Linked DNA regions of Sus scrofa. The protein of the gene in region 1 interacts with the protein of each later gene in a biochemical or structural test. Links are inferred from orthologs where the notes say so. Each region holds a gene or a part of one and is shown on either strand. Other genes may lie near its edges.

Region 1 (6,047 bases):
ACTGCTCCTGAGCTATAAAACCTCTGACCAGGTTTGAGATTACAAATTGATCGCATGCTGGCCACATCTACCCTGGGATGTTCTTAGTTGGCCTGCAGGGTTTGGAAATATGGATTTAAAAACTGACAGATTTCATACAAAAATCCTACTTTAGGGTTTCTCTTGGGGCAAAAAAAGTACAGAATATCTCAGAACACTGGATCCACATTCCTCAGGGCAACAATCTGCTACAGCTGAACAGCTGCTCCCTTCAGTTACAGCACCGACACTCCAGTTCGCCACATTTCTTATCACTCGCCATTGTCTTACACCAGGCTAGTTTCACTGATTTGCATTAATTTCCTGGTCCCAGTAGATATTTAAGTTTGCAAATCCTATGCAGACCGTTCCTGTCCCCCATTAAAGCCTACTTTAGTCCCAAGTTCCTCAACAGTTTTCCAAAGCAATAGCTGGTTAATCTGATCAAGTATGGGTATTTTCACATGTGCTCTCTAGTGACAGCATCTTAACAGAAAGGGATGACTCTGCAGGTGGAAACTACAGGGACCACGGAATTAAATAAGGATGGCAACTGTCCAGTCTACCTTTTTTGCTATCCTGACGTAGCCATACCTCACTGTCCTTAGGCAAACTATAGCAATCTGAACACTGGTCCACGTGTGAAGACCGCTTAGTTTATAGATCACCCTACTTCCAAAGAACCCAAACTGTGGAGGGCTATTCTGACTCCCCGTTTCCTCAGGGACTTCAGGATATCCGGCCTGACTGCACTTCCCCTCACCTGCTCTCGGGCCCATTTCGCTGAGGGCAGTCGCGCCCGAGGAGCGCGCGCAGCCACCATGAGCTCATTTCTCAGGGGCGTTTCTGGAAGGTCGGGCCTGGGCGCGCCCGCGCGCGGGGCTGTCGGCCTCACTCCTATCACTGGCCTTCGCGTTTGGGCGGGGCGCGGCCGCGCAGAGGTGGAAGCTTTGTTCTCAATTTAGCGTTTGAGAACTCGCACCCCTGCCTGGAAGCACACTGAATCCGTCCGGGCCTTTCGGGGAAGTAGCTGGCACTGGAGACGCGCTCTCCCCAGCGGAGGGAAACCTTGTGCGCACATGAGCCCCGCCCCGCCGGGAGCCTGTAGTCGGGAGGGGGAGAGAGCCCTTAAACCCTCAGTTCGCTTGAGCGCTCCGAGCCCCGACCGGCTGACTGCAGCAGTTTCCCACTGGCGGGCGAAGGGCTCGCGCTATCTGCGGTTTTCACACAGGCTGCGAGTAGCCACAGGCAAGCCTGTCTGACCATCCACCACAACCCCAGACGCGCTTCTCCCGGCTGCCGGGACCGCCGCCGAGGCCGAAGGCCAATCACACTGCAGCTAGGTCTCGCGATTGGAGGGCAGTGAGTGCCGATTGGCTACTGCTACCGCTTTCGGTCTCCCTCCTTTTCCCTTTTGCCCCCACTCCAGCTCCAAAGCTTGAGACCAATGAGAAGGCGCTTTATAGAGCCCTCCCTTCGCTTTCTACTTCTCCCCACCTTGGCCAGGGAGGAGACGTCCTGACTGGTCAGACTGTCCTCGGAAGCCCCATTCTCTTCACCAATCACCAAGGGAGGTACACTCCCAGCGGAGTTTTGGCCAATTACAAAGCGGTTGCAGCTCCCAGCCTTGCGGTTTCACCAGCAACTCCCGGCTTCACAGTTCTTAACTCTTCAAGCTTTTTCGTGAGAGCCGGCGACTCTGATTGGCCGCTGCTGCCATTGTCGAATTTCTCCTCCAGCCAGCCACAGTATCACTCCAACCCATCTTCTTCTCGGTCGGCTATCTTCGGCACTTTCCGCCCTTGGGCGTGATTTCCAGTGGTACTTTCTAATTGGCTCCTCTGGCCGATCGGCTTTTTCCGGGAGGAGCCGCAAACAAACGACGTCCGTGATTGGCTCCGCTCGGGCTTCGGCTCCCCTGCCGAAGGGGGCGGGCGCCGGGCTCGGCCGGCAATTCTCAGACGCCTGTTACGCGGGCGGAGGGGCGCTGGGCGGTGTAAGGCTGGGTGGGGGAGGAAGGAGGCGGAGGACGAGTAGGAGGGGGGAGGGGTTGGGGAAGAGCTAGGCGGCTGCGCAGACGGCACTCCTCACACAGAACAGCCCCCGACCCGGGCGAATGCGGGCTTTCGCTGCTGCTGCCGCCGCCGCTGCCGCCGCCGCCGCCGCCGCCGCCGCCGCCGCCCGGGCCCGAGTGACAAAGGAAGGAAGGAAGCGAGGAGGAGCCGGCCCCGCAGCCACTGACAGGGCTTCGGGCTGGGGGCAAAGCGCGGACACTTCCTGAGCGAGACCGAGCAGAGGCGAGGGGCGGGAGGGAGGGCGGTCGCGCCGGTGCCGTGGACGGGGGAGGGGGCCCCGAGGGACGGAAGCGGTTGCCGGGTTCCCATGTCCCCGGCGTATGGGGAGCAGTCGAGGAGCCGCTGCCTGGGGTCTGAAGGGAGCTGCCTCCGCCACCGCCGCCGCCATGGCCGCTGGATCCAGCCGCCGCCTGCAGCTGCTCCTGGCGCAATGAGGAGAGGAGCCGCCGCCACCGCCCGCCTCTGACTGACTCGCGACTCCGCCGCCTTCCAGTTCGCCGGGCCCCAGCCGTCAGCCCGCCGGATCCCGCCGCTGCCGGAGCCGCAGCGTTTCCCGTCGCATCTCCGAGCCACCCCCTCCCGCTCCCTCCCTCCTTCCCATCCCCCCTTCTTTTCAAGCGTGAGACTCGTGATCCTTCCGCCGCTTCCCTTCTTCATTGACTCGGAAAAAAAATCCCTGAGGAAAATATAATATTCAAAGTACTTATTTTCAATCAAGTATTTGCCCCCGTTTCACGTGATACATATTTTTTAGGACCTCCCACCCATTTCTACCCTCCAAGGAAAGGGAGGGGAGAGAATTGTATTTTTTTTTTCCCCAGTCCCAGATCATCTATATGTTAAATATCCGTACTGATCTGTCTTCAAGGAGAAATACATCGCTCGCATTTTTTTGTCGCTATACAAAAGGAGTGAAGAGCCAAGAGGACGAAGTCTTTTTTTTTTTCCTGTGGGAGAACTTAATGCTGCGTTTATCATTAACCTAACACCCCAACATAAAACAAAAGGAAGAAGAGGAGGAAGGAAGGAAAAGAAGGTGATTCGGGAAGACAGTGATCATGTCAGGGCGGCCCAGAACCACCTCCTTTGCGGAGAGCTGCAAGCCAGTGCAGCAGCCTTCAGCTTTTGGCAGCATGAAAGTTAGCAGTGAGTATTGATTTTATTTTACACTCTTTCTCCACCTCACCCTTTAAATAAGAGACTTTGAAATACCAGGATCTTAAAATATGATGTCTGATATAACAATCAGAGATAATGGAAAAGGGCAGAAACCTGTCTTCTGTCAAGGATGAGGCAGCTCCCTCTTTTCTCCTCCCATACTCCCTCCCCCGGTCTCATTAACCTTGAATAGAGGGAATATGATTTTTATTTGGATGATTTGACTTGAAATATTTCTTATAGTTTTCTTGCCAGCTTTATCAAGCGGTTGACTTATTTCCATCTTAAAATAGTGATGGAAGTGTTTACTTGGCTCATTCTCATGAATAAAGCGAAGGACAAGATTCATAAACCATTATGTGCTTTTGCAGTGTGTCTTTAGGAACAAGGGATAGTTAGCTCAGATCTCAGGGGTTATCATAGTTTTGTACACTTAATAGAGGAGCTAAATGTCACAGTCTCTTAACAGTTCTTTCTTGCCTTTGTGACTGTACAACGCATTTGTTCTTAATCCAGAGATGAACTTGCTCAGTGACCACTTTCACATTTCCAGGCAAGCATTGATTCCTCCTCTTAGAAGGGACCCGTGAGGTTGATACTCAGTAGCAGTAGTATCTCAACATGCATTGTTTTAAGTCTACCACTATAGAGTTAATATTTAATCAAAAGGTAACTTGGAAGTAGGTCCTGGTTTTGATCGAGATTTGTATTGTCATGTTGTCAGATACTGAGTTGAATGTTAACTGTCACTGACCCTCCATATATCAGTTTTGGGGATGCCATTGCATTCCATACATGCTAAATGATGTAAAGTTCAGGGGTCCCTTCTTAAGACTGTTTAAAATACTCTTGCATTGGTTTTCTTTAGGTAAGACTATCCAGTTAGAGGAATATGGATTTAGACCTTTTCATCATAGGTTTTGCAGAATGCTGTGGTCCTGGATATAATAGGGTATAATTTGGGCTCTGTTCAGGGTTATTACTAGACTGGACCCTCTTGCTAGATTTGTGCAGAAAAGTCTAGTTGAGTGGTACACTAAGTGTCAGATGTTCCTGTGTATCTCTGTTTATGTGGAATTTAAAGAGTTTATTTAAACGTACTTTCAGAATTTGACAAAAATATCTATTCTGTTTCCTTATTTCTCAAGAAAGGGGCATGATGAGGACAACGAAAAACTATTTGGTTGCCTAGAAGAAGGAGAGAATTGAACTGAGATTTTTTTTTTTAAAGTATATGCTGTTATGTGAAATTGATTATATCCTTAAACAGCATAATATAATCACTCTTAATTGAACCCAGGATTTGATTCATGTTGGCCTTTGGAGCTTGCCTAAGACAGTGTAGTCCAAGGTAATAGCTGAATGGTAGATTTTTTTTTTTTTTTTTTTTTGAGAGTTAAATTTTTTTTTGGTGACTAGCTAGTTGAGAATGCAGGGTATGTGAAGAGGGAAGCTGATGATGCATCTTTCAGGGAATGGTCAAGCTTTCTAAGCACTTCATGGGGTCATTTGAGAGGAATATTTTAAAATTCTGGGGTAGTTTTCAGCTATGATGAAGCAAATCTTTTAATAGCTACTTAAGAGCCTATTGTGGTACTGGAGTGTTAGTATGTTTTTCATCTTAGTTAAAAAACTCCTCATAATCAATTTTAGGTAATTAATTTATTAGATCTATTTCAGAGAGCAAAACAATAGCTTATAATATTAAAATTTGGGACTTCATTTTGTTTCCAGGATTCTCTTTGAAAATGACGCTTTAATTCTTGATAGTGTGGGTGTTGATTGAGAATGGAGTAATTCTTGCAAAGTGTGTGAGTTAAAGTGTCTTTTTTATTACTTCATGCAGCAACTTAACATTTAAAAAGTTGGAGTTCAGTGCTAATTATGTGTTTTTGACAATCTTAATTTTAAAGATGTTTTAGAAGAAAGGGGAGTAGTTAAGCATTAGAGTGCTGGTGTTCCAAAAGACTCCTGTTCAAAAGAGGGATACATAAAAAATTATAGACGTTAACCTGAAAAGCTTATCATTTAGTTGTTGAGGTAGTTGTTTAGTTTGTATGGGACAAAATGTGAAAACAGTATCATGATGACTACAAGATTATGTAAATACAAATAGAAAGCTTTGTACATAGGGATTAAAAAAAATAAAGGGTTGAGGTAAATGGGTTGGAGAGGATAGACTTCCTGTAGAGGTGTCTTTTAAGACAGGGGTTAAAGGAGGCTGTAACTTGAATTGACAGAGAAGCATAAAGGATTCTAGATGGAAGGAATGAAGAGAGGCACAGAGGTGGTGATTTTTGTATGACAGATCAACAAGTTTTGATTAATTTCAATTAATTTATAAAAGCGGATTGTTAAATCTGAATTTAAAGGGGCCTAAATAGGAAAATAAGAGAATTTGAGAAATGTGTTAACATTCATTGATGGAGGTCAGAGGGAGCCTCTAAAAGTTTGGAATTTACTGGAGGTTGCTGAATAAAATATTTGAAGATGGGGAGTTCCTGTCGCTGTGCAGCAGAAACCAATCCGACTAGGAACCATGAGGTTGCAGGTTTGATCCTTGGCCTCGATCAGGGGGTTAAGTATCTGGTGACGTCGTGAGCTGTGGTGTAGGTCTCAGATGAGGCTCGGATCTGGTGTGGCTGTGGCTGTGGTGTAGGCTGGCAGCTGTAGCTCGGATTGGACCCCTAGCCTGGGAACCTCCATCTGCTGCGGGTGCCGCCCTAAAAAGCAGGGAAAAACAATTGAGGATGATTTGGGCAGCTGAGTTGTTGGATTAGAGTAGAGATATAAGAG
Region 2 (6,050 bases), on another chromosome or scaffold:
GGATGGGCCATGGGCTCCTGTGATGGTCAGAGCAGGACTCGTGCAGGCTCGTGGTGTGGGGTGTTCCCAGGATTTGCAGCATGGCGCTCCCAGAATAAACAGGCCTTTAGAGGGAGGTTTGAAGGTAGAGCCAGGGAGGGCGGGAGGGGGCTCAGGTTTCCTGTTGGGTCCTGATGGAATCCGGGCAGGAGAGGAGGAAGGAGAGGAAAAGGAGGGTCTGGCTTGGGGAGGGCGGGAAGGTGAGGAGGGGGGCAGGCGGGCCCACCTGTGCCTCTCTTCCCTGCGTTAAGGGCACGCGGGCCGCCCCTCCTGCCGGCAGCTGAGCCTGGGCTCACTGGAGGTTGGGCCCCACTTGGGGGGAACCCTGGCCAGCCTTTCTCCCGGGAACTGGGGTGAGACAGCGGGGAGCTTCCTTAAACAGTGTGCCCTGGGCGCCTTTCTCGCCTCCCAGAACCCCCTCCTCCGAGATCAGGGGTGAGGGACTCCCCTGGGACTACACAGCAAGGGAGGGCTGGGGCGCAGGTCCAGCCCCTCTTGGCCCTGGCACCCGGCTGCTGCAGAAATTGGCTCTATGTGTGTGTGTCACGGGGGTGGGAAGTCCAGTCGGGCCATGAGTTCAGGGGTGGCCCTCTGCATGCCACCAGGTGCCTGTTCCTCACTGCATCTTAGCTTAGGTTGTGTCTCCCGGCCTGCCTGGGGTGGGCCCCAGGAGGTGGCGGCAGGGCCGCTGGGAGCCTCTCCTTCTGCCTCCTTGGTCTGGATGCGTTGGGGCAGGGCATGGCCAGGTGAGAAATGGGAAGCACAAGAGTGCGGAGAAGGGCAGAGGAAGGTGGCTCCGGTGGGGCGGCCGGCCACGGCCCTGCTGGTCCACCTGCCAGGTCCTGGGCTCACACACGGGAGCACAGTGAGGACAGGACCTGCCGTGAGTTTGAATTCAGACCTCGTGTCTTCTGGTCTCAGTCAGGCGAGGTCAGAGCCTTCCCAACAGCAATGTCTTGTGTGACTTTTCGGGTGAGGGCCTGGCAGAGGAGAGAGGGAAGTGGAGGTGCTGGAGAATTCTGCTGCCCTCGTTACCCTCCCGCACGGCCGTGGCCACGGCAGGAGCCGGGCAAAGGGGGAGCGTGTGTGTGGGAGAGGCAGCCTCCTGGAGAGGGAGAGCATCCGGCCAGGGCTCTCCGGCCCCCACCTGCCACCGGCCCCCACCTGCCACCGTCGGCTCCATCGGCCCCTCTAAGGCTGCGGGAGACCAGGAGAGGGAGCAGGGCTGGGCCCAGCTGTGGCTGGAGGCCGGCTTGAGCCCTGGGGTCTGTTTGGCCGCAAAAGCCCAAGCTGGCAGCCTGGGCTGCTGGCCAGGCTCTGTCCCTCTGAGTGTGTGGCGCTCTGACCTTCGAAGCCGAGAGAGGCCCAGGTGGCCCCCCAGCGACCCCGAGCCTGTCACCCTCCGCCCCAAGGCCTGCCCCACCCCACAGCGAGTGAGTCAGGCTCCCCCCTGAGACTGCTGGGGAGTGTGGGGGTGGGTTCGCCTTCCCGGACCCCCACCCCAGACCCTGGCCCCTCTGCAGAGGGCGTCAGCTCTGGCTGTGCACTTGCGGTGGGGCTGTCCCTTCCGCACTCGCTCAGGCTCCAGGCAGTGGCCCGGCCCCGGCCCACGGGGTGGGGACTCACGCTGGGGCTGCCGTGAGGGGGAGGTCCCCGCCCCCACGGCCAGACAGCCCTTCGCCTCACTTGAGCCTGCACCCATTACTTGTCCCCGTCGATGCAGGGAAACGTGCTCGTCCCATTTTCCCGGAGCGCACTGCGACTTAGCGCGGTTGAGACCCGCGGCGGAGGGCTGGGCCATCCCTGGCCCACCCCCGGCCCCGCGCCTCTCAGCCCCCGCAGCCCCTTCGGCCGCACTCTCGGAGATGGCGGGACGTGACCGCCAGTAACCCTGCGGACGTCGGCGCGGGGCGGGTTAAGGGCCGGCGTCCGCGAGTAACCCCGGCCCTCTGCGGCCCCGCGGGGCGCAACCCGAACCGCGCGGTGGGGGTGGGGCGGGGCCGGGGCGGGGCCCCGGGAGGCGGTGGCGCGGCCGCTGATTGGCCGCGCGCGCTCACCCCATGCCCGGCCCGCGGCCCCGGGGCGGGGCCGGCCGGCGGGGCGGGGCCCGGGCGGGGCCGGCGAGGGGCGTGGCCGGCGGCGGGCGCTCGGGGCTTTCGCTGCTTTAAAGCGCGGCGGGCCGGCGGCCCTCGGCCGGTGGAGTCCGCGCGCGGAGACCGGCGGGCCAGCCGCCTGGACGCCCCGAGGGGCGGCGGGCGCGGGCCGCGGAACCATGGACTGCACGTTCGAAGGTATTTTTTGAGGACCCCCACCCCTTTATAGCAGAGCTTCCGTCTCCGCCGTGGGGTCCGTGCCCCCGTGCGCAGGGGGGCGGCCGGAGCTCCGAGTGAGAGCCCGCTCCTGAGGGGAGGAGCACCCGCTCCCGGCTCTCCGGGGACCTGGCGGGCCCTTCCCACCTCCGCAGTCACCCCCACCCCAAGCTCCGAAGCGAGAGGGCAGCTCTCCCACATCCCCTGCCGCCCAGGGAGAAGGGCCGCTCGGGCCCCCCTTTGGGGGCGTATGGTGGGCTTGCCGGACGGACAGTGGAGCCCTGGGTTCGGGCGCTTGTTCTTTCTGGGCCTCAGTTTCCCCATCCGTGGAAGGGGCTCAGGAAGCCTGGGCGAGGGGCTCCAGCCGGTGGAAGCAGCCTGTGCCAGTAGGCTAAGGGGTCTCCGAGGGCCCAGGAGGGCTCAGCCTGGCACCCCCCTGCCCTGCTCTGCCGGAGGTGTCGCAAGGCCCCCTGCGCAGTCACTTTCCCGCCGGAGCACCTGTCAGGCAGTGTCGAGGCCCCTCTCCTGCCGCTGGCTGCCTGCCTGCGGAACCTCTGGCTGCCCTGCCACAAGGGCTTTCATCTTGCTGTTGTGCACATGAGGAAACCGAGGCCCAGGGGCAGAAGCCACTGGCCCACACCCCACCGCCCGTCGGTGGTGGGCAGAGCTGGAAGCTCAGGCTGGGGATCACACTTGGGGTTCCCACAGTTTGCTCATGGGCCTGCAGAGCACTCCGACCCAGTGGGTGGCTCCCCCAGTGGGTTAAAGGGCCCTGGGCTGACCCAGCCGGGCTGCTACTTGCCTTCTGGGGGAGAGGGCCCGTGGCCGGGCTGGGGCTGTGGGAGGGAGGGTGTCCCAGGCGGCACGAGGAGGAAGGGGAACAGACAGCCAGAAGCGACTGCTTCTGTGGAGCGGAAGCCGAAGCCCAAATGGCCGGTTCCGAGGCTGCCTGGCTGCAGACGGGGCTTGGGCTTGTGCCCAGAACACGCAGGGATGCACTGGCTGGCGCACGCGGGGCAGGGGCTGGCTGGGGCTCCCCAGAGGGCTGGGTTGGGGAGGCAGCTCTGGAGCTGGTAGTCGGGGCCCAGGCCTCGGAGGGCCTAGCCTGCGTGGCACTGGCTCGTCCAGTGTCGCAAGGCTGTTTGATGCACCAGGCAAAGCTCCAGATGTCACAGGGGCCAGGGCACATCTGTGTCCTCGAGCATGGGCGCCCGTGTGTGGCTTTCTGTCTTGGTGGCGTCGCTCCCACGTGTTACCACGGTGTGGACGAGGGCCGCGCAGATCCGTGACGCCGCCTCTCCTCCCCTCAGACATGCTTCAGCTCATCAACAACCAAGACAGCGACTTCCCCGGCCTGTTCGACGCGCCCTACGCTGGCGTTGCAGGAGGCACGGACCCCACCAGTCCTGATGCCAGCTCCCCAGGCAGCCCGACGCCGCCTCCTTCCACCATGAGCTCCCCGCTTGAAGGCTTCCTGGGGGGGGCCAGGACGCCGCCACCGCCCCCCGTGTCCCCAACCCAGCCTGCACCCACCCCGCTGAAGATGTACCCGTCGGTGCCTGCCTTCTCGCCTGGGCCGGGCATCAAGGAGGAGCCAGTGCCACTGACCATCCTGCAGCCCCCCACCCCACAGCCCCTGTCTGGGGCTCTCCTGCCCCAGAGCCTTCCAGCCCCCGCCCCTCCGCAGTTGAGCCCTGCCCCCGTGTTGGGCTACCCCAGCCCTCCTGGAAGCTTCTCCTCAGGTAAGGGGGCGTGTGGAGGGAGGGGGCAGCGGAGCACAGGGTCAGGGGGCTGCTGTGGTCTGACTGGAGGTCCCACTTGGTGGCCTTTGGGAACAGGGTCCCTGCTCTGCTGCTTGAGGCGCCCCCGTCCCTAGCAGCACCCGGGCTCCTGTTGCCGGCGCACTGCCCCTGCTCCCCTGGTGTCCGCAGCAGCGCTGCCCTTGCGCAGATAAATGCGTGGCTGGGAAGCCAGCACACTTGCATCAGAGCCCCAGGCAGGGCCTGTCCAGATAGGCCTGAGGCCACAGGGGTGGTGACTCATCCAGGGTCACACGGTGATGAGGACGGGGCAGGACGGGGCGGGTTGAAGGTGGGTCAGGGCGGCCTGTGTCCACAGCCCCAGCCTTTGTCTCTGCAGCGACCCCTCCAGGGAGCACCTCACAGACGCTGCCTGGCCTGCCGCTGGCCTCTCTGCCCGGGGTCCCGCCCGTCTCCGTGCACACCCAGGTCCAAAGTGCGGCCCCCCAGCAGCTGTTGACAGCCACGGCCACCCCCGTGGTGTCCCCTGGAACAACCACTGTGACCTCGCAGATCCAGCAGGTCCCGGTGAGGGGGCTGGCCAGGCACCAGGGAGGTGGCAGTCCCGGCCAGCCCCTGAGCCCCCAGCTGAGCCCTCTGCCTTCCTTAGGTCCTGCTGCAGCCCCACTTCATCAAGGCGGACTCCCTGCTCCTGACGACCATGAAAACAGACATGGGGACCCCTGTGAAGGCGGCGGGCATCGGCTCCCTGGCCCCTGGCACAGCCGTGCAGGCAGCACCTTTGCAGGTGGGCAGCTCGGGCCAGGCAGGGGGCATGGGGTCTGCATGCATGCCTGCCTGCCCTAACCGTGCCTGGGCCCGCAGACCCTGGTGAGCGGCGGGACCATCCTGGCGACGGTGCCTCTGGTAGTGGACACTGACAAGCTGCCCATCAACCGCCTGGCAGCTGGGGGCAAAGCCCTGAGCTCAGGCCAGAGCCGTGGTGAGAAGCGGACGGCTCACAATGCCATCGAGAAACGCTACCGCTCCTCCATCAATGACAAGATCATCGAGCTCAAGGACCTGGTGGTGGGCACGGAGGCGAAGGTGCGGGCAGAGGCCCTGGCAGGGCGGCCCTGGGGAGGGCCGCCTGGAAGGCAGAGGCGGGTGGGGCTGAGCCTGGACAGCCAGGGCCCAGGGGCTCCGTCTGTTGAGCTAAGCTTCATGGAGGCGCGTGTGCTGCGGGCTCTCCTAGGCGCTGGGGACTCAGCAGGAACAGACAGGCACCCCGCTGTCAAGCACCTGTGCTCCTAGCAGCGTGCCAGGGGCGCCAGCAAAGAGGACAGATGGCCTGAGTGCTGTGCCAGAAAGAACGAAGCAGGAAGAGGGATGGTGGGAGTTTCACATCTGAATCGGGGTCGGGGGGGCCTCACGACGGTGTCGTGGTCTGAAGGGGGCTCGGGAGCGAGGCATGAAGGTGGTGATGACAGTGACGACAGTTAGTCAGACGCTGCTGTCAACCCTTAGGCCCAGCCTGGCAGGTAGGTTCTACCAGGGCAGGAACCTTCCGTGCAGAAGGAATAGCAGGTGCAAAGGTCCTGAGGCCGCTGTGTTGCGGAGCAGCCCCGCTCCCTCTGGCTCAGGTGCCCGCTTGTCTGGCCTGACCAGCCACCTGTGCTGTCCCCCTCCTACCCCTGCAGCTGAATAAATCCGCCGTCTTGCGCAAGGCCATCGACTACATCCGCTTCCTTCAGCAGAGCAACCAGAAGCTCAAGCAGGAGAACCTGAGTCTGCGGACTGCTGCCCACAAAAGCAGTGAGTCCTGGCCTCTCTGGCCCCGCCTGCAGCCCTGTCCCCACCCTGGTCTCACCTTAGGCTCTGGCCCTGCCAGGGCCCTTAACCCCTTCCTTGGCCTTCGCCTGGCCCTCCGCTCAGATCTGGGGCGAGGTGGGCGTGGCGCTGC
Region 3 (6,161 bases), on another chromosome or scaffold:
AGTTTGGGGCATGGTGAGGGAGAAGACTAGTAGAATAGAAGTTAGAGATCTAGAGGGAGTTTGGCAGAGTTTGGGGCATGGTGGACGGGGGTTGGGTGAAGGACGGGATACAGGTCGGAGGATAGCAAAAGTCCTCCCAGCCCCACTTACTCACAGTAGCCGCGGCGACACTCCAGTCTATCTTAGAGCAGCGGGATCGAGAGCCAGGAGTGCTGGGGCTGCCCTGCTCGGGTGAGGGGGAGGCCGGGGGGCCGGGGGGGCCGGAGGCCGGGACGAGTGCAATATTGGCAGGGGAAAGAACAACACTGCACCGCGTCCCGTCCCTCCCGCCCGCCCGGGGCCCGGGATCCCGCTCCCCACCGCTTGAAGCCGGATCAGCCCGAGAACCGGGGACGCGCTGGGGAGCTGGGTTCACCTTGGAGGGCAGAGAGACTTGGCGCCCGGAAGAGAGTGAAAGGGGTGGTAAGGGGGAGGGGGAAGAGGTTCGAGAACGGGAGACCGCGGTATCCCGGAAGGCCGCTTTCCGACGCCCGGGCGTTGCGCGCGCTTGCTCTTTAAATACTCAGACTGCGCGGCGCGGAGCCGTCGCCATGGTGACGCGTGTCCCAGCAACCGAACTGAATGGCTATTGCCTGGCAACGCCGGGGGGTTGAAGTTTTGGGGCCGCCCACCTAGATACTCGCGCTTTCTCTAGCCGGCGGGTTGAGGGGGGGTCTTCCCCGCCTCTCCGACTAGCGCCGGGGCGCGTAGACGTAAACGCACCCCCGCCCCGCGCCCGCCCCCGGGTCGGGCGGCCGCACAAAGCCGAGCGCGCGCTGCAACTGTCGTTCCTCTCCTCCTGGGGCTTCCCTCCAATCCCGCCGCACCGAAGTGTCCTTAAAGTTTATTTCTCAATTTGTATTCTTTGGGGCTAAGAATTGTTTCTTAATGCGGACGTAATTGCTTCTATGCGCCAAGACCGCAACCCAGGACCTCCGGATGGGGCCCGATAAGCTCCACGTGCCGAGTGGCTCCAAATTCTTCCTTGATCCCATATGTTTCTGCCCTTCAAAATACCCCTTGATCTTCACAAATCGCGCACCATCACACACAATTTTGTACTCCTCACCACCACCTTGTGCCTACGTGCCCCAAATACCACTCCCCAAAGGATAGTTCTGTGCCCCCAAATACCATTCGGTTGCCCCACCTATTCTCTGCCTCCTGAAAACATAACTCATCTGTTCCACTCCCCCTCCCACATTCCGATGTCCTCGCCCAAATACTTCAGTGCCCCTTTCCACGTAACTCAGACCCCACCCACTTAGCGCCATTTCCTCCAGACACCGCCCCCACGCGCCTCAGAGTCCCCCCCCCCCAAAAGCTTCCAGCCCCTCCAGTGGTGGTACTGTCTGTTCCTCCCCTCCACTGTCCAAGCAACCCACCGACTCTTCTGGCCGGGGCTCTGCCCTCCCAAGCCATTCTCTGCCCCCACTTAGGCAGCGCCACCCTCCTCTCCGCGGATCGGGGCTGCCCCTCAGCCGGCTCATGCAGGCCCGGTGAGGCTCCAGGTAACCGCTAGGGGGCAGGAGAGCCCGACCAGCGAGCCGCCGCTACCAGGCGGAGAACCGGGGAAGACCCTAAGATTCGGTGAAACGCAGATTTCGCCGTCTTTAATGGAAATTTCTTCCCCGCCCCTTTCTCGGGAGAAAGTCTTGGAAGGACTCGGGCTGCTGGCAAGTCCGGCAGGGGCGGGGACTGGGTTTCGGGGTAAAACTGCGTGTGGAGCGCCGCAGGGAGCTGTTAGAAGGGTGGGGCTATTCCGGGAAGTAGTGGGGGAAGGGGGGGGGTCCCAAACTGGTACCTGTTCATTCGTCATCAAGCCTTCCTCTTCTTTCTCAGCCCCCAGATTGGGACTGCAAGGGACCCAATGAGAATGGGGCAGTGGTGTGGGGGACCTTCCACCACCTTGCGGACCCCCCACCTTGCGGTTCAGGACTTTGACCTAGCCCACTTTCTCTGTTACTTTTCTCACCTTGGCTGTTGTCCTGGGGGTAAAACTGAAGCCAAGAGGACCCAGGTCAGGTCCCAGGCTCCGTCTTACCGCCTTCTGGAGCCAGGGAGTGGTTGGTGAAAGGGGAAGGCCAGCTGAAGAACAAACATGTCAGAGGGTTGAGTGATTGGAGCCCACGTACCCTATTTGAGGGGCCAGGAATGGTTGGGGAGGAGGAGGAAGAGGGAGGAGGGAGGGAAAGGGGGAGGGGGCGGAGCTCTGTCACCTGTCACCTGCTCTGGCCGAGCGGAGGGCGGGCGGGGGACCGGTATAAAGCAGCGGGCGCCTGTGCCTGCTCCACCTCATGCGCAGCACCTGCCTGAGTCTGTTCTGCCCCCTCCCCACCACTTTACCGCCATCATGACAAGGGACATCCAGGCCCCTTTCTTCTTCGGGCTGTTGCTACTCCCAGTGCTTACAGGTGAGGGGCCCGGGGAGGGGGGGGTGCTCTGCTCCTGGGGTCTTCCCAGCCTTGCTGTGAGTTTTGCTTCCTGGGAGAGAGCATCCAAGAGGCAGAAGTTGCAGACAGGCATGGCCCAGTCTGTGCCCGAATAAAGGAGAGAGGCCAAGGACAGGCTGAGACTAGACAGCCCCCCAGGAGAGTGGGTGCCAAGAGCAGGCGGATGTCCCAAAGAGAAGCTTGGTGGGGGCGGGGGGTGGGGCTGAAGTCTGGAGAGGCAAATCTTGGCAGCGGAGAAAGAGATAAGCCAGGAGCAGGGGGATATGGGAAGAGAGAGGGGGGTTGCCAGCAGGGGAGGAGGAGGAGGAGGGCTGACCTAGGGGCCCCACTCCCCAAATCCTCCTGGTATGACTTCTCCAGATGCCAGAGAGTATATTTTCTCCTTGTGCTGACTTGTCCCCCAATCCGACTCTGTAACCCCAACTTCTTACAGCTGCCGTCTCCTCTTCTGAGACAGCAGTTCCTACAACCTCTGGCCACACAAGCAGAGATACACAGACTTCAAATATCCAAAGCAGCCCAATGCCCAGCTCCACTGATGGAAGTGCTGTGAGCGCAACCAGCAGTTCACTCATCACCCACAGCCCTGCCTCAAGCTTGGTCAGCACTCCAGCCCCAGACTGACATTTCATCTCTGACCATCAGCCCTACCAGAGACCACATTAGCACTTCATCCAGGACCACAACTGGCATGTCCTCTCCAACCACCAGCCCTGCATCAGGTTTGGCCACCACTCCAGTCCACAATGGCACTTCATCTCCAACCACCAATGGCACCTCATCTCCAGCCACCAATGGGACCTCCTCTCCGACCACCAGCCCTGCATCAGGTTTGGCCACCACTCCAGTCCACAATGGCACTTCATCTCCAACCACCAATGGCACCTCATCTCCAGCCACCAATGGGACCTCCTCTCCGACCACCAGCCCTGCATCAGGTTTGGCCACCACTCCAGTCCACAATGGCACTTCATCTCCAACCACCAATGGCACCTCATCTCCAGCCACCAATGGGACCTCCTCTCCGACCACCGGCCCTGCATCAGGTTTGGCCACCACTCCAGTCCACAATGGCACTTCATCTCCAACCACCAATGGCACCTCATCTCCAGCCACCAATGGGACCTCCTCTCCGACCACCGGCCCTGCATCAGGTTTGGCCACCACTCCAGTCCACAATGGCACTTCATCTCCAACCACCAATGGCACCTCATCTCCAGCCACCAATGGGACCTCCTCTCCGACCACCGGCCCTGCATCAGGTTTGGCCACCACTCCAGTCCACAATGGCACTTCATCTCCAACCACCAATGGCACCTCATCTCCAGCCACCAATGGGACCTCCTCTCCGACCACCGGCCCTGCATCAGGTTTGGCCACCACTCCAGTCCACAATGGCACTTCATCTCCAACCACCAATGGCACCTCATCTCCAGCCACCAATGGGACCTCCTCTCCGACCACCGGCCCTGCATCAGGTTTGGCCACCACTCCAGTCCACAATGGCACTTCATCTCCAACCACCAATGACACCTCATCTCCAGCCACCAATGGGACCTCCTCTCCGACCACCGGCCCTGCATCAGGTTTGGCCACCACTCCAGTCCACAATGGCACCTCATCTCCAACCACCAATGGCACCTCATCTCCAGCCACCAATGGGACCTCCTCTCCGACCACCAGCCCTGCATCAGGTTTGGTCACCACTCCAGTCCATGTTGGCACCTCCACCCCAGCCACCAGCCCTGCCTCAAGCTCAACTGTCACTCCAACACACATGGGCACCTCTTCCAAGGCTACCATGTCCCCAGTCAGCAAAGGTACTCCATCTTCAGTTCCTAGCAACCACTCTGATACTCCCACCACTCTTGCCAGCCACATTACCAGAACAATTGCCAACAGCACTAACCATAGCATAGTCCCTCCCACCTCCTCCCATCCTAAGACTTCTCAGCAATCTTCGGTTATGGTCTCTTTGATCTTCCTGTATCTTCGCATTACAAACCTCCAGTTTACCTCTTCCCTGGAAGATCCCACCACCAGCTACTACAAGGATCTGCAAAGAAGGATTTCTGAATTGGTGAGTACTGCCTTTCCTCTACCATGCTCCCTTAAAGCAGACTTCAGAACTTTTCCAACCCCTTGCATCAAACCTTAGCCCTGGAGTTCCCATCGTGGCACAGTGGTTAACGAATCCGACTAAGAACCATGAGGTTGCGGGTTCAATGCCTGGCCTTGCTCAGTGGGTTAAGGATCTGGCGTTTCTGTGAGCTGTGGTATAGGTTGCAGATGCGACTCGGATCCCTCGTTGCTGTGGCTCTGGTGTAGGCCGGTGGCTACAGCTCCGATTAGACCCCTAGCCTGGGAACCTCCATATGCCGCAGGAGCAGCCCAAGAAATAGCTTTAAAAAAAAAGACAAAAAACAAAGAAACAAACAAACAAACAAAAACTTAGCCCTTTCCCTCTCATCTCAGTTTTTGCAGGTTTATAAAGAAGACGGGCTTCTGGGACTCTTTTATATCAAGTTCAGGTACAGTTTTCGGGGTGGACTCTGTGTGGGATGGGTGGACAGTGTCATGACTGTGGGCAGCGGTTGGCATGCTTGTGGTTGTGAGGGATGTGCTGACCCAGAAGCTGGGCCCCGTGGCTGAGTTGCCCATTTCTCTTTGACCAGGCCAGGATCTGTACTGGTAGAGCTGATTCTGGCCTTCCAAGACAGTGCCGCTGCCCACAACCTGAAGACACAGTTTGATCGGCTTAAAGCGGAAGCAGGCACCTATAACCTGACCATCAGTGAAGTTAGTGGTGAGGCCACTTCCCCAGCTGCCACCCAGCCCCACACTGCCCCGGGCCAGTCTTTCTCTGGCATCTGGGCTGCTTTTTCTCTTGGTGCTGGTAGGGGGAGGGTCACCTCCTTTGGTAGACTGCCCTGAGCCCTGCTTTTCCTTCCAGTGATTGATGCACCATTTCCTTCCTCTGCTCAGCCTGGGTCTGGGGTACCCGGCTGGGGCATTGCCCTGCTGGTGCTGGTCTGTATTCTGGTCGCCCTGGCCATCATCTATGTCATCGCCCTGGTAAGTGCTCAGTCCCTAGCCCTGACCAGGGTCCCCCTGTGGGCAGGCCCTCCGCGGTCCCCCTCAACCTCCTATCTCCCCAGGCTGTGTGTCAGTGCCGACGAAAGAACTGTGGGCAGCTGGACATCTTTCCGACCCGGGATGCCTACCATCCTATGAGCGAGTACCCCACCTACCACACCCATGGGCGCTATGTGCCCCCCGGCAGTACCAAACGGAACCCCTATGAGCAGGTGAGGATGGGCCCCCCCAGGCAGAGAGAGGCAGAGGCTGTGGCTGGGCGGGGGTTCTGATGGTGTACTGGGGAAGCCCAGAGAACTTAGAAGAGGTGAGAGGTGAATTGACTGTGAGGGCCTGACATGGATGGGGGAGGAGGTGAGAGGAGTTCTGGGGGAAAGGTCTGGGGCAGAGACCACGGGAGAAAGGGGACCTCGAGAGAGAGTGCCCCCCACTCCCAGCCCTCCCAGCAGAGCAGTCACTGCTCAGCGGAATTAGGAATTAGTGCCTGGGCTGTTTCCTGGGTTGCCCAGAGGAGAAATGAGTGGGGCACAGCACCCAGGGGAGCCCCTTATGCAGGACTCACAGGGAATGAGC
Region 4 (5,980 bases), about 18 Mb from region 1:
TGTTGTTGTTGTTGAATCGAATAACTTTTAAAGCTGAAAAAGCTTAACGAGGAAGTTCCCTTCATGGCTCAGCTATTAACAAACCCAACTAGCATCCATGAGGATGTGGGTTCCATCCCTGACCCAGCTCAATGGGTTAAGGATCTGTGTTACGGTGAGCTATGGTTGTAGGTCTCAGACTCGGCTCAGATCCAGCATTGCTATGACTGTGGTGTAGGCCAGCGGCTATAGCTCCGAATCGACCCCTAGCCTGGGAGCTTCCATATGCCTCAGGTGCTACGCTAAAAAGCAAAAAAGAAAAAAGAAAAAAAAAAGATTAAAGAGTCCAGAAAGAGTTTCCCTAAGGCCCACCCACTAAAACCTTATCTATCCGGCTACCAGTCTACAGAATTACAAACCCTGGATTTACCTCTCACACTTTCAGAAGTGTCACAAGTCATTTAAAATTTTCTACAATTGGACCTACTTTTCATACTCTCATCACAGTTCCACTCCACCGCTTGTGCGTGCTCGCAAATTACTAGTCCTGTTTACTCACCCTTCTTGTTTCTTTTTTCCTGTGGATTTGTAGCACAGTCCAACACCTTCTACAATGTACACTCACTTAATTGAAAACTTTTACTGACTTGCCTTCTGCAGGCTAAAATTTCCAAAATTCTTAGGAAATGGTCTTTCACTTAACGCCATCATTAACTGGTAAAGGGAAGAAATGAGAGACTCCTTGGACCCACGAGGAGTGTGCCTGAGTACCACCGGTCCAGCTGCTGCCCCAAAGGGAAAACAACAAATCTCAGCCCTTCCAACCCCAAATCCTGACGTGCAACACAGCCCTCGGGTGGGAACAAATTGTGCAGAAACTTTGCAGGATGGTGGAATTCCAACGAAAAGAGTGAGGTACCTTGCAGGAAAGCTTCTTGCCCACCAAAGGACACCCAACCCGCCTCACCTCGCTTCCACCACATCCCCGAGGTCCCAAGCTTCAGCAGGCCTGGCTTACCAGCTCAGCCACTGCCTCTTTCCCCAAATGCTGCTGCTCCTCGAGCACCTTTGCACTTCTGTCACCAAGGTTTGCTGCTTACCTTGGGGATCTACTCAATTTTATAGTATTCTTGGGAGTTCCCATCGTAGAGCAGCAGAAAGGAATCCTAGTAGGAACCACGAGGATGCAGGTTCGATCCCCAACCTCACTCAGTGGGTTAAGGATCCTGTGTTGCCGTGACCTGTAGTGTAGATCGCAGACGCGGCTTGGATCTGGCGTTGCTGTGGCTGTGGTGTAGGTTGGCAGCTCTAAGTCCTATTTGACCCCTATCATGGGAACCTCCATATGCCGTGGGTGTGGCCCTAAAAAGACAAAAGACAGAAAAATAATAATACAGTGTTCTTGGACCCACTCCATGGGGTTTCAATAAATGCTTGACATGCTGAATGAATGAATGAAGATGTCAAAAAATAGTAAATTTTTGGCCATGCAAAACTTGGCAGAAAGATTGTAGAGCTATGACGTCTTACAGATTGGGTTCCAATACCAGTTCTTCCATCTACTAGCTGAATGAACTTCATCCCACTGAGAGTTCCAGAAATGTTTGTTGAATGAATGAGTAAAAGGTTCTCCAAGATGTGTGACGAAGTAAGTGCAATAACGCTTGTATCATTCCTGTCCACAATCAGCGCTTTACCAGAGTTACTACTCTCTCTACTATTCCGCGTTCTGTATTCACATAGACTGTTAGTCCCCTGAGGGATAGGAATGTCTGACTCAGTTCTGAATTCCCCAAGGTGCCAGGTCACATTAGGTGACGAGAATAAAGACGGAGGACCACAATTTTTGAGGTGCTCAGGTGGCTGGGGTGGGGGGGTGGCAGAGAAAATTACACATCCAGAAAGGTTCTGGCCGTTTCGCAAAGACCAGAAGTCTCATTATCCCGCAAGAACCTCAGCTTGCTCACGTACAAATGACGGCCGACTCTACTTGCCAATAGACTCTGCAGTCCATAGGACCCCAGGCCCAGGCGCCTCAACAGGTCACCTTCCGCAGCGCTGGGCCGCAGACCTCACTCCTCCCTGCCCAACCTCTGGGCTGAGGAAGACGCATGCGCACTCCTCTCTCCGCGGCTCCTCCCGCCCTTCCTTCTCTAGTCCTTCGCGTTTCGAGTGCTAGGTCTTTTTGTCCCTTACTGCTTGCCGTGTCAGTTTCCGTGCGGAAGTGGTGGCCGTGAGAGAAGAAGATGGCGGCTACTGTGGTGGCGCCGCCTGGTCCGGTGCCTGGTCGAGCCAACAAGCGCAGCGGCAGCGGACAGGGTGGCGGCGGCGGCGGCGGGGGGGCAGCCAGAGGGGCAGAGGAGGAACCGCCGCCGCCCCTACAAGCAGTTCTGGTGGCCGACAGCTTCAACCGCCGTTTCTTCCCTATCTCCAAGGACCAGCCTCGGGTGAGCGCCGCACGCTTGGAAGCTGCCAGAGGGCCTGGAGGTGGCGGGGCTATAGCAAGTTATCCCTTCGGCTTCCTGGTGAGGCGGGCTCTGGAAGGACTTGTGTCCACTCTCTCTCTCAGAAATCGGGTTTATCTGATTATGAGGAAGGCGAGGAGACCGTCTAAAGCCCTGACGATTGCCTGACCAAGTGAGTGGCTGGCAGATTTGAGCACTCGTCGTGCTGTCCACCTCAGGTTTGGGAGCTCTGCAAAGGGCTGATGCAGAAGCAGTGCTTGTGAGAAGCCTTCATTCTGGGATTCAGTGCCTCAAGAGGAGGCTGCGCTGGCTTTATGCAGAGGATAATAAGATCGAGTGATGAAAGGGAATGTCACCTCCTTTTGCCTCCAAAAGGGAGATCATATTGTCGTCCCCCCCCCCAAAAAAAAAGAGCAGACTTGTATAGTGTGGTTTTTTTGGTGTTTCGTTTTGTTTTGTTTTTGTCTTTTTGCCATTTCTAGGGCCTCTCCCGCGGCATATGGAGGTTCCCAGGCTAGGGGTCTAATCGGAGCTGTAGCCACCGACCTACACCAGAACCACAGCAACACGGGATCCCAGCCGCATCTGCCACCTACACCACAGCTCATGGCAACAACGGATCCTTAACCCACTGAGCAAGGCCAGGGATCAAACCCATAACCTCATGGTTCCTAGTCGGATTCGTTAACCACTGAGCCACGAGGAGAACTCCAAGTGTGCTTTTTTTTCTTCCCAGGTTTTAATGAGAGCCAATGCCATATGTCAAAAGAAGAACAGAACGGGTTTAATGGCTGGTTGCCAACATCCCTGCATTGTCTAGAAGCTGGGGAATTGGCCTCAGCTAGTCCTAGGGATTGCTGGGTCACTCAGCAGTCCCCAGTTCAAAGAAAGGGACTTGGCATTCAATTCAGGAAAAGTCCTCTTTGACTCTTCACTTCCTCCAAATAGTCTAATGACTGTTTATTTTGGACAAGTGATGGGGATGACTAGCCCTTGCCTCTTAGAAAAGGATCAAGAAAAGAAATTTTAGGAGTTCCCATCGTGGCGCAGTGGTTAACGAATCCGACTAGGAACCATGAGGTTGCGGGTTCGATCCCTGCCCTTGCTCAGTGGGTTAATGATCCAGCGTTGCTGTGAGCTGTGGTGTAGGTCACAGACGCAGCTGGGATCCCCACATTGCTGTGGTTCTGGTGTAGGCTGGCAGGTACAGCTCCGATTAGACCCCTAGCCTGAGAACCTCCATATGCCGCGGGAGCGGCCCAAGAAATGGCAAAAAAAAAAAAAGAAAAGAAAAGAAAAGAAATTTTGTAGAGAAAAAGGCCTCAGTGGTGCTTAAATTTCTGGAGATATGATTGATCTCTAGTGTTACCCTTTGTCAGGAGTAGTCTCCTGTTCAGTACCAGCTCTGTGTCTGATGCTAAGCATGTAGATTCCATGCTTACTATGTCTGAACTGCAACACATTAGACTGATGTTTAGAGCATGCCATGAACATCAAAGGCAGGAGCCTGATTACTTTTAAATAGGAAAAATAAATTAAAGCTGGTGTTTAAACACACTGATAGTGGAGTGAAAATTGTGGATGAAGAAGGGGAAGGAATGGTACCCAGAAGGCCTTCATGGATTCAATACTTCAAACTTTTTTTCATCTCCTACCCTCCAGGCCCTCTTGCCCCTGGCCAATGTGGCACTAATTGACTACACTCTGGAATTTCTGACTGCCACAGGTGTACAGGAAACCTTTGTCTTTTGTTGCTGGAAGGCTGCTCAAATCAAGGAACATTTACTGTAAGGCTCTGCAACTTTTCTTTCTATGTTTCACCATTTTTTCCCCAGGTTCCTTAGAATGGTTATAACTAAATAAGAGGGAATTGTAAGGGAGTAAAATATATCTATTTGAATTCCATCATAAGCTTTAACTAAGGGCATTCTCTTAGCAGGTGAGGAGCTGAAGCTGTGATAGAGATTAAAGAATAGCATTTGGAGGTCCTGTTGTGGCTCAGTGGTTAATGAATCCGACTAGAAACCATGCGGTTGTGGGTTCGATCCCTGGCCTTGCTCAGTGGGTTAAGGATCCGGTATTGCCGTGAGCTGTGGTGTGGGTTGCAGACACGGCTCGGATCACGTGTTGCTGTGGTTCTGGTGTAGGCCTGTGGCTACAGCTCTGAATTGACCCCTAGCCTGGGAACCTCCATATGTCACGGGAGCAGCCTAAGAAATGGCAAAAAGACAAAAAAAAAAAAAGTTAAAGAATAGCATTTGGGTTTTTTCTGTATCTTACTTATAAAGTTTGGTTCCAGTAGGTTTTTGCTTTTTATTTAGTGGCTCCAGTATGCAAGTTACAAAAGTAACATATTTGCTTTTCCACTGAGCTATGAAATATTGAGCTCTTCTTCATCTTTGTATTCCCAGTGCCTAGCTTAGTACCAAACTTTGTTAGTACTTAACAAATGTGTGATGAAATCTTTCTGGAAAGAGTGAATCTCAAGATTTATTGAAGTTTAGGAAATAAAGACTAGGGTATTAGCATGCTCTCCATCAGACAGTATGAGCTTCAGAAAGAGAAAAGTGTGTTCCCAGGGTGCTTTGTATAAGCTAATTCTCAGTAGGATGTTTAGTTCAAATCCATGTTTAGAGACAGGGGTCAGGGTATGGAGAGGAAATAACCATGTTTCTCTAGCCCATAAAACAAGACTAGTGACAAACTATGCTGAAACCATTCATTACGGTTCATAAATGTCTTTGAAGTTGAGGATGCTGGCAAGGACCCAAAAAGAGCCATAGCAAAGGAGCATGAATGTTGAATGGGTGTGAATGGGTGGAAAATAGGGACGCTCTACGTGATTCTTATGCTTGGTTTACTCATTCCCCTCACCCCTCTTCCTTTAGGAAATCCAAGTGGTGTCGCCCTACATCCCTCAATGTGGTTCGAATAATAACATCAGACCTATATAGATCACTGGGGGACGTTCTCCGTGATGTTGATGCTAAGGCTTTGGTGCGCTCTGACTTCCTTCTGGTGTATGGGGATGTCATCTCTAACATCAATGTCACCAGAGCCCTGGAAGAACACAGGTCAGGATGGGGAAACGGTAGAGACAGGGTTTGGAACCAGCAGAGCCCTAAGACTGCTTTTTTGCAACTCTCTCCCTCCTATCCTTTATAGGTTAAGACGGAAGCTAGAAAAAAATGTATCTGTGATGACGATGATCTTCAAGGAGTCATCCCCCAGCCACCCAACTCGTTGCCATGAGGACAACGTGGTAGTGGCTGTGGATAGTGCCACAAACCGGGTTCTCCATTTCCAGAAGACCCAAGGCCTCCGACGTTTTTCTTTTCCTCTGGTGTGTGAGTGTACAGGGTCCTTGAGGTGGGAAAGTGACAGGCTTCAAGCAGAAAAGGCAAGTTAAAGTCCTTGTAACCTCTCCCACAGAGCTTATTCCAGGGCAGTGGAGATGGAGTGGAGATTCGCTATGATCTACTGGACTGTCATATCAGCATCTGCTCTCCTCAGGTGAGCTCTTCAGGGCCACGGCT

What was found. The genes of interacting proteins can lie anywhere in the genome.
Region 2: the proteins of GSK3B (region 1) and SREBF1 form a complex in vitro, tested with the Homo sapiens proteins (2 studies listed by BioGRID, with this or other methods). The link is inferred for Sus scrofa from reciprocal best matches to the Homo sapiens genes GSK3B and SREBF1.
Region 3: the proteins of GSK3B (region 1) and MUC1 form a complex in vitro, tested with the Homo sapiens proteins (2 studies listed by BioGRID). The link is inferred for Sus scrofa from reciprocal best matches to the Homo sapiens genes GSK3B and MUC1.
Region 4: of the proteins of GSK3B (region 1) and EIF2B5, one has a biochemical effect on the other in vitro, tested with the Homo sapiens proteins (2 studies listed by BioGRID and IntAct). The link is inferred for Sus scrofa from reciprocal best matches to the Homo sapiens genes GSK3B and EIF2B5.

The regions. Positions count from the first base shown.
Region 1 is NC_010455.5:140,134,051-140,140,097, forward strand, and holds the start of GSK3B (glycogen synthase kinase-3 beta), read left to right. Parts: upstream 1-2,058; 5' UTR 2,059-3,151; coding exon 3,152-3,239; intron 3,240-6,047. UniProt on the Homo sapiens protein: Constitutively active protein kinase that acts as a negative regulator in the hormonal control of glucose homeostasis, Wnt signaling and regulation of transcription factors and microtubules, by phosphorylating and inactivating glycogen synthase (GYS1 or GYS2), EIF2B, CTNNB1/beta-catenin, APC, AXIN1, DPYSL2/CRMP2, JUN, NFATC1/NFATC, MAPT/TAU and MACF1.
Region 2 is NC_010454.4:60,739,110-60,745,159, forward strand, and holds the start of SREBF1 (sterol regulatory element-binding protein 1), read left to right. Parts: upstream 1-2,202; 5' UTR 2,203-2,311; coding exon 2,312-2,330; intron 2,331-3,658; coding exon 3,659-4,090; intron 4,091-4,487; coding exon 4,488-4,675; intron 4,676-4,757; coding exon 4,758-4,895; intron 4,896-4,972; coding exon 4,973-5,194; intron 5,195-5,787; coding exon 5,788-5,902; intron 5,903-6,050.
Region 3 is NC_010446.5:94,624,031-94,630,191, forward strand, and holds the start of MUC1 (mucin-1), read left to right. Parts: upstream 1-2,313; 5' UTR 2,314-2,392; coding exon of another isoform or gene 2,393-2,476; intron 2,477-2,925; 5' UTR 2,926-2,990; coding exon of another isoform or gene 2,991-3,041; 5' UTR 3,042-3,183; coding exon 3,184-4,572; intron 4,573-4,967; coding exon 4,968-5,023; intron 5,024-5,167; coding exon 5,168-5,298; intron 5,299-5,445; coding exon 5,446-5,567; intron 5,568-5,650; coding exon 5,651-5,800; intron 5,801-6,161. UniProt on the Homo sapiens protein: The alpha subunit has cell adhesive properties. Can act both as an adhesion and an anti-adhesion protein. May provide a protective layer on epithelial cells against bacterial and enzyme attack.
Region 4 is NC_010455.5:122,058,276-122,064,255, forward strand, and holds the start of EIF2B5 (translation initiation factor eIF-2B subunit epsilon), read left to right. Parts: upstream 1-2,132; 5' UTR 2,133-2,225; coding exon 2,226-2,426; intron 2,427-4,106; coding exon 4,107-4,231; intron 4,232-5,332; coding exon 5,333-5,518; intron 5,519-5,609; coding exon 5,610-5,787; intron 5,788-5,876; coding exon 5,877-5,957; intron 5,958-5,980. UniProt on the Homo sapiens protein: Acts as a component of the translation initiation factor 2B (eIF2B) complex, which catalyzes the exchange of GDP for GTP on eukaryotic initiation factor 2 (eIF2) gamma subunit.